2 linked regions of the Oryctolagus cuniculus genome follow. The protein of the gene in region 2 purifies or fractionates together with the protein of the main gene of each other region. This does not show direct contact. Links are inferred from orthologs where the notes say so. Each region holds a gene or a part of one and is shown on either strand. Other genes may lie near its edges.

Region 1 (3,436 bases), on a different chromosome or scaffold from region 2:
AACTTTAATCTGGGCCTAATTTTCTTCAGCTCTTTCTAAGACTAAAATATACATGACTTCATCGTCACTAGAATTCCTAGATAAAAAGATCAGCCAGGGATGACTTGAAGTGCATGAATTCGAATGTTTGAGAAACTCAGCTGTAGACTGTTTGTTAATATTTTGTTCATGCCAGAACTCTTAGAAATTAGCTTTAAAAACCATGAGACAAGCCTGAGCAGTGTATGTGGTGTGTGAAAAAGGTTTTGTTTTTCCCTTAAGAGCTCTGTTTTCTAACAGAATATTTCCAAATAAGTAAAACATTGACAACAACTCCATAAAAAGAAAACTGGTGAAAAGAACATCTTATTATATGATTAAGATTATGTCCCATCTAAACATATATATGAATATATCTGTATGACAGTAGTTCAGAAAGTTCATGGAAAATGGAACTGACAGTTTACTTTGCTACAAAAGATTTTTGAAACCCTTGCATTTGAAGGTTCTTCAACCAGTTCATGAAAATGCATAATGTGAAAAAACTATGCATGGATTTCAAAAGAGTTTTTGCACCAAAATACTTTTAATTCCATTTTCTTTGAACTTTTTGAAGTACCCCTCTTATACACTAGTCTAAGACTGTTTTATTAAAGAATAAATATTGAAAACATTCTCATTAAGATACATAGTGGTACTGGACCATCAGAGAAGTTTAACAATATAGTTAAGTCAATAGTAGAAGAAAAAGAAAATCAATTAGAAGCTGTTGGTTTGAAGAGGACTACATATGCTTGTCATAGTCTAAAGGTAAATTACAAATATGGGAAATGTTATGTAATTGATTAGGCACAGGAAAAGAGAATTCCTTTGACTTTGAAGCCAGGAGCACTGTCTTTAGTAGCTTTGGAGTAACAGCATTAGAAACAGAAGAAAAGATAATTTTAACAGACAATCACATTATTTGCATGGTCATAGTACTAAGAATATTGGAAGCATACTCAAGTTATGAAAACAACTGGATATACTCTATATGTATACACACATACATTATATACATTCATTATTTAATTTTTTAAAAATTCTTCATTAGTATTTTATATTTGACTGTTTTAGAAAGATTGGAATGGGTTCTACAACAGAGTTTAGAATAAAAATTGTATTCTCAGCCAAAAATTTTGGGTTGCATTAATGATTCCATAATCAGTTAGTTTTCTCGTTGAGACCCAGGAGACAACATAACAATACCAGTGTTACTTACCATTAAGAAAAGCAGCTAAGAAGTACTGGATCCCATTTGCGGTCATTATTAACTGTTTGGCAACAATAAATAACATTAAAGGACTTCAAAGAAAAGTTAAAAGTGCAACATTCCCTACTCCTGCTGAGTCTGCGATTAGTTTTGTGTCTTGGGTGTTCTGCCCTAAAATATTTTGCTTTCTTGTTTTTACTGTTGTTTAGTTAATAAAAATCATAGGAGATAATCATAGATGTTAAACTGAAATAAGAGCTACAGGAATAAACAAAGTTGAAGAGTACTGACATTTTAATATAGAAATGATTAACAGACATGTTCAGCCGCTAAAGATAAATAGGAGCTCACGAAAATCTGTCAAGTCATGGTTGACTCAGCTTTAAATCCTCCATGAAATTCTTAGAATACTCAACTCCTCAAAACCTTTTTTCCAGTTTACTAAAGCAGTGAAGCACTTTGGGGAAGAGGCTGGCAAAATACAGCCAGATGAGTTCTTCGGCATTTTCGATCAGTTTCTTCAAGCCGTGTCGGAAGCCAAGCAGGACAACGAAAACATGCGGAGGAGGAAGGAGGAGGAAGAGCGCCGGGCTTGCATGGAGGCTCAGGTAAGAGTTCCATGAGCTGGGGATTTTTCGCTTTTTGCTTTTCACTAGTTTGGGTTTTTCTTGCTGTTTGTCTTTTGTAAAGCAGAGAGAGAAACCAAGGTAACACAAAGAGGAAGTCTCCATTACTGGTTCACTCCTCAGGGCCCTGGACAGCTGGTCTGCGCTGAGGCTAAAGCAAGGAGACTCATCTAGGTCTCTTCTGTGGTGGCGGGGACCCAACTAGTTGAGCCATCACCACACCCTTCTAAGGTGTGCATTAACAGAAAGCAGGAACTGGGGCCAGAGCCGGGACTCAAACCCAGACACTGTGGCTCAGGACTCGGGCACCCTAAGTGGTGATTTAACTGCTGTGCCAAACGCCTGCTCGCCGTGGGTTTTTGTCTCACTCTCATTCATGGCCTGGCAAGAAGGAAGTCACTGCGGTACTTTCTAGAATGCTGCTGGGAACTTATATTGCTGTCAAGTATCTTTTAGATGATTTGATAGTAAATATCCAAAAGCCTTAAAAAATATATCCATGTCTTTTGATCTGGAATTCCCATTTCTTGGAAATCATTCTGAAGAAATAATCAAAATTTACGAAAAAGGGGGCAGCGTTCTGCCCTCATGTTGGAGATGATCTGAAAGTCATGATTTGTTCTGGATGATGGAACAGCTACATAATGGAATATTTATGCAGTCCTTCAAAGACTGTTTAATGATTCAGTAAAGCTTCCACAGATAGAATCTATTGTTTTTATTTCTAAAGATTTATTTAGTTATTTGAAAGGCAGAGTTACAGAGAGGAAGAGAGAGATCTTCCTTCTGCTGGTTCACTCCTCTAATGGCCATGACAGCCAAGGCTATGCCAGGCCAACGCCAGGAGTCAGGCGCCCAAGTACTCGAGCCATCTTGTGCTGCTTTCCTAGGTGTATTGGCAGGGAGCTGAATCAGAAGTGGAGTGGCTGGGACACAGATCAGCACCCCACATATGAAATCTTTTTGTTTGTAAAATAGGTGTTAATATAGAAAATGTAGTGGTGGGCGAAACCCCCAAGAGGTTCCCAGTGATTGAGCTCTTGGTGGCTGAATTAAAGGTGCATTTCTCTCATTTTGTTTATCTGGATCACCTACATTTTGCCTCACACGTGCACATTATTTGGGTTTTAAGAACAGAAACTCCTGTGCTGCAGGTCTCAGGCATCCACTGTAGATGCAGACTAAGGTTTTGAGGTAAGGAGAGTGTACTGGCGGCCATGTGCTCCAGTATCTCCGTACCATGAAGAAATCAGTATTCCAGGTCTATTTAGTAGTGGCAACTTTTTTTCCATGTAGAAACACAGATCGCCTCAGTTTTTCTTCTTGTACCAAGAATATCCTTCTCGATGGTAAGAGTCAAAGCCCAGAGCCATGCGTGGTAGCTTTCTTTCATTTGTTCTGTAGTAGGACTTCAGGTCCCCACGGCCCCGTGCTTTTAAGAGGCAACAGCTCTCAAGAGCTTAGCTTTCTGTGACAGAACTTTCCAGAATCCAGCTGCAGTGACAAAACACAAGGTCTTCACATGTCCCTAAGAGGCGTCCTTCTATTTCCAGCTCAAAGAACAACGTGAAAGAGAACG
Region 2 (4,358 bases):
CTGGGGGACCCCTGACCCATAGGGAGGTGCTCAGAGACCCGCCAAGAAGAGCCACTTCTGTTTACTTTATATGCCAGGGTTTTTCAATCGGGCTTCCTCAGTTACGATACCTTTGAAGTTGAGTCGTCATCAAGTTCCAATCTAGAACAGTCTGTTCCTCAGCTCAGGTCAGCCCTGCCCACTCAGGACCAAGAGGTCTTCTCCAAGACCCCACAGCAGCAGCAGCTGCCAGGTGGTAGCCCCCACCCCACCCCAGGGGAAGGGCAAGATCTGTAGCACCCGGAGATGCTGGGTCCTGTGCGGGTATTCTGACAATTAGCCTCCACGGCCCCCAGACACCTGCAGGTGGCTTCCCACCTGACAAACTGGGAAATGAAGCCTCCATAAAGTTCAGTCCCATACACAGAGTCTCCGGGACCCGGGTCTGCCATTTGGACACATTACTCCAGAGCTTCAGAAAGGACAGCAGATGCAAGGAAACCCAGCCGGGGGGCAGTGGCAGCAGCCAGCGCCAGCGGCCCTGGCCCACCACACCCAGTCCCCAAGCCCTGCGCTTGCTGCACAAAGGAGGCTCAGTCCCGGCAGCCCACAGCCCGCATCTGGGCAGTCTGCCTTCCTCCCCCTTCCTCCCAGGCCTGGCAGCAACACTGGGTCACTCAGCCCTGGCAGGGGACAATGACCACACTGTAGGGAGCCACACATCCACTGCAGCAGAGTAAGTGTGTGAGAATAATCCACCAGGGAGTCACCTCCACCCACTCTCCGGACAGCCCCTTCCTCCCTCCGTCTGCGTCCGCGCAGCTCAAGGAAGGCCCTGCCCACCCCTCCCTGTGACTCAGGGCCAGCAGTCAGCTTCCCAGGGTTTGTGTGTGTCCCTCGCCCCAACACACATGAACACGCATCTGCACAGCTCATCACACCTTCCCAGCTCCCCTCACTTCCTCCTTCCTGGCCAGAAAGCCGACTTCCAGCCAGCTCAAGTTCCCAGGCCCACTGCCTGGGAGGAAGAGAGGGCGGGCTCCGGAGCGGAGACGAAGTCAAGGCTGTAGGGAAAGGGGGAGGGGGAGGGGATTGGAGCCTGGGCTGGGAGGAGCCCCAAGACAAGAGACAAATGAGGGCCGGCGGGGCCCAGCACCAGCCGGGCAGGGAGCAGTTAAGAAGGGGCGGGTAACCTGATCTCTGCCCTAAACCAGGCTGTTTCCCTCAGTCCCACATCCTGTCAAACTAAGCTAAGCTCCTCTGTGGCCCACATACCATCCCCACCTCGCACCTCAGCCCCAGCCTGCCTGGTGGGGGACCCTGGTGGCGCCTCCCTCCCAGACCCAGACACACACACACACACACACACACACACACACACACTCACAAAGCTGGGATGTGGGGGAAGAGGACAGGAGTACACGGCCACACTCTCCCCACCACAGAAGGGGCTCTCCCTGACATCCTGAAAGAGAAGCACCCAGGCAGGCCTGGCAGGCAACCACCGCGGGGAATCCCAGCGATCCGCTGCTACACGGTGCGGCGGACAGAAGCCGCAACTCTGGGGCAGGGACACGCATGCACCAAGTGGAGCCCACCTCTCAATGAGAAGACTCTCTACCCAGGCTCTGGTTGGGGCAGGAGAGCCAGCAGCCCAGGCCAGGCCACAAGGCCCAGCGCCAGCTCCCTGTGGGAGGCAGCCCCAGAAGAACTGCCCCACTGACCCCAACAGGGGTAACCCAACCACCACCACTCCAGGCCTGCAATGCAGCCTGGAATCCGGGGGGAGGCGCAGGGCCGCGCTCCTCAGCCATTCCCTTGATTTCCAAGCCCAATCGCGGGGCCCGGCGGACCCAGTCCACCTCCCCCGACGTCTAGGAAGTAGTAAGTCTTCGGGAGATACCCCGCCCCCAACTTTTAAAGCAGAAACACGGGCGAGATGCGGGTTCGGGAGTGTGAGGGAGAAGAGATTTCTTAGACACGCGCACCCGAGCCATCCCGATCTCCCCCCACTTCCCTCCACGGGCAGGCTACAGCAACCGTCCAGGGCGGCGTCCCCCACTGGTCACACCCTGCCCCTATTCCCGCCATTCCCCCATCCCGGCCAGGGGAGGCAGCACCCCCACCGGGGTCAGTTCCCGACCTGCCCGCCCCTCGCCCGCCTCCAGGTCCGTAGGTGCGCGGCCGGCTGCCCGGGCCCGGAGCCAGAGCGCCTCACGGAGCTTCCAAGTCGCCCCTCTCGGCCCTGGCCCGGCGGGGCAGGTCCACACGAGGAAAGGGGCGCGAAGGGAAAGGCAGGGACTCCGGCTCTGACCCCAGGAGGCGAGAGCCCCTGTCTGGCAATTCCGCGCGCCCCTCGCCGCAGCCCGGGCCGATCCGGCCAGACCCCGCACAGCCCGGACGCCGCGTCCGAGGGGAAGCAACAAGGCCCACGCTCCGGCCGGAGCCCCCCGCCGGCCGCGCCCCAAGCTCCGGGCGAGCGGAGAAGGGAGAGAGTGCTCTCCCGGGGCGAGTCCCCAAGACGCCCCGCCGCCCCGGCCCCGGCCCAGGGTACCTTCCGCTCCGCCGCCTCCAGCTCGCGCGGCCGGTGCCGGAGGCTGAGACTGACCCCAGGGCCCCTGCCCCGCCCTCCTTCGGCGCCGCGGAGGGGAGGAGAGGGGCGGGCCGGCGAGAGAGGGTCGGCCCGGGGGCGGCCCTTGGCTCGGCCCGCCTCCGGCTCCAGCGCTCGGCCGCCGTGGGTCGCCGTTGCTGGGGCCTGGGGAGCGGGGAGAGCCGCTGGCACATGCTGGGACTGCAGAGGAGTGGGCGGCGAGACCCCCCGAGGACTCAGCCTGCTCCCCGCTGCCGGCCCCTGGGGGCGTACCGGCGTCGGGAAAGTTGCGAGGCGCTCGGGGTGGGGTCAGACCGGGCCGCTGCTGCCCTCCCGTGGCCAGCGGGGCACCGGCTCCTGAAGCACCTGAGACCTCCTCCACGCGGGGAGGCGCGGCCGCGCCAGGGCGGCCCCGGGGTACACGAGTACCCATCGTCTTGCCCCGAGAACCGTTCGTCTTACCCCCGCCTTGAAAGCCTTTCGGAACCAGACCTCCGTTCCACTTCAGAATCCTCTCGTTCCCGCTAGCTGGCATTTCCGTAGGCTCCATTCCTGCCTACTCCTCAAAGGGCACTCCTGCGGATGCTTCAGGATTCCCGGCTGTGAATTCGTATTACCTCCTAGTGCCTAGGGACCCTCAGCGTGGTCTAAATTAGGGCCTGGAGTAGTTACCTACACGTGTGTCTCCTTCCCTCCCGGTAGGCGGCGGGGCAGGTGGGTGGGTATAGGAGGAGGAAGTCTAAGCACTTTCAATGAATGGGTACACTACTCTTAGTCGTCGTCACAGGCCTTTGGGGTGCGTAGACCCAAACTGCAGCGCAGATAAGTGGCTTGCACACAGGTGCATGCTTTGTAAGTGACGGGCCTCTCTGGCTCCAGTGCTCCAATGCCTCTGCCCTGGCCCATGGTCCTTCACCCTGCCCCCACCCCACGTCTGGAAGTGTGTGGCACACAAGAGGGCTTCAGCAAACATATGCTGCATGAATGTTACAAGCTATACAGACTGAGGCCAGCGTTGTGGCGTAGTGAGTAAAGCCGGCCGCCTGCCACGCCAGCATGGCATCTGTTCCAGTCCTGGAGACTCCTCTTCTGATCCAGCTCCCTGCTGATGGGCCTGGGAAAGCAGCAGAGGATGGCCCCCAAAGGCTTGGGCTCTTGCCACCCACGTGGGAGACCTGGAAGAAGCTCCTGGCTCCTGGCTTCAGCCTGGCCCAGCTCCAGCTGTGGTGGCCATTTGGGGAGTGCACCAGCATGTGGAAGTCTCTCTCTCTCTCCCTTGCCTTTCAAGTGCAAAAAATAAAATCTTTATATTAAAAAAAAAAAAAGGTCATACAGACTTTTAAGATCTGAAGTGCAGGCGCAGGCTGCTCCACTTCCCATCCAGTTCCTTGCTAACGTGCCTGAGAAAGCAGCAGAGGATGGCCAAAGTGCTTGTGTCCCTGCCACCCGGAAGAAGCTTCAGCCTGGCCCTGCCCTGGCTATTGTGGCCATTTGGGGAGTGGACCAACAGATGGAAGATCTCCCTCTCTCTCTCCCTTTCAGATAAATAAATACATCTTTTTTAAAAATCTGAAGCACCATCCAGACATTTTAGAACCGTGGGGACAGGTCCTGAGCTTGGTCCCAGGCCTCCTGCTCAATAATCACTTATTATTATACGTGAATTGAGAGCTACGTCACAGATAGATTCCTGCCTTCATACAACTGACAGCCTAAATGAGGAATACAGATAATTTCCAGATAGCTAACATTTGTGGAACTCCTATTAGAGACCTGGCCCTGTATCTAT

The links. The genes of interacting proteins can lie anywhere in the genome.
Region 1: the proteins of RHOC (region 2) and DAAM1 purify together in Homo sapiens (affinity purification with mass spectrometry; 3 studies listed by BioGRID and IntAct, counting the BioPlex papers as one, with this or other methods). This does not show direct contact. The link is inferred for Oryctolagus cuniculus from reciprocal best matches to the Homo sapiens genes RHOC and DAAM1.

What each region holds. Positions count from the first base shown.
Region 1 is NC_091433.1:99,046,997-99,050,432, forward strand, and holds part of DAAM1 (disheveled-associated activator of morphogenesis 1), read left to right. Parts: intron 1-1,668; coding exon 1,669-1,839; intron 1,840-3,410; coding exon 3,411-3,436. UniProt on the Homo sapiens protein: Binds to disheveled (Dvl) and Rho, and mediates Wnt-induced Dvl-Rho complex formation. May play a role as a scaffolding protein to recruit Rho-GDP and Rho-GEF, thereby enhancing Rho-GTP formation. Can direct nucleation and elongation of new actin filaments.
Region 2 is NC_091438.1:57,617,972-57,622,329, reverse strand, and holds the start of RHOC (rho-related GTP-binding protein RhoC), read right to left. Parts: upstream 2,861-4,358; 5' UTR 2,534-2,860; intron 250-2,533; exon of another isoform or gene 111-249; intron 1-110. UniProt on the Homo sapiens protein: Regulates a signal transduction pathway linking plasma membrane receptors to the assembly of focal adhesions and actin stress fibers.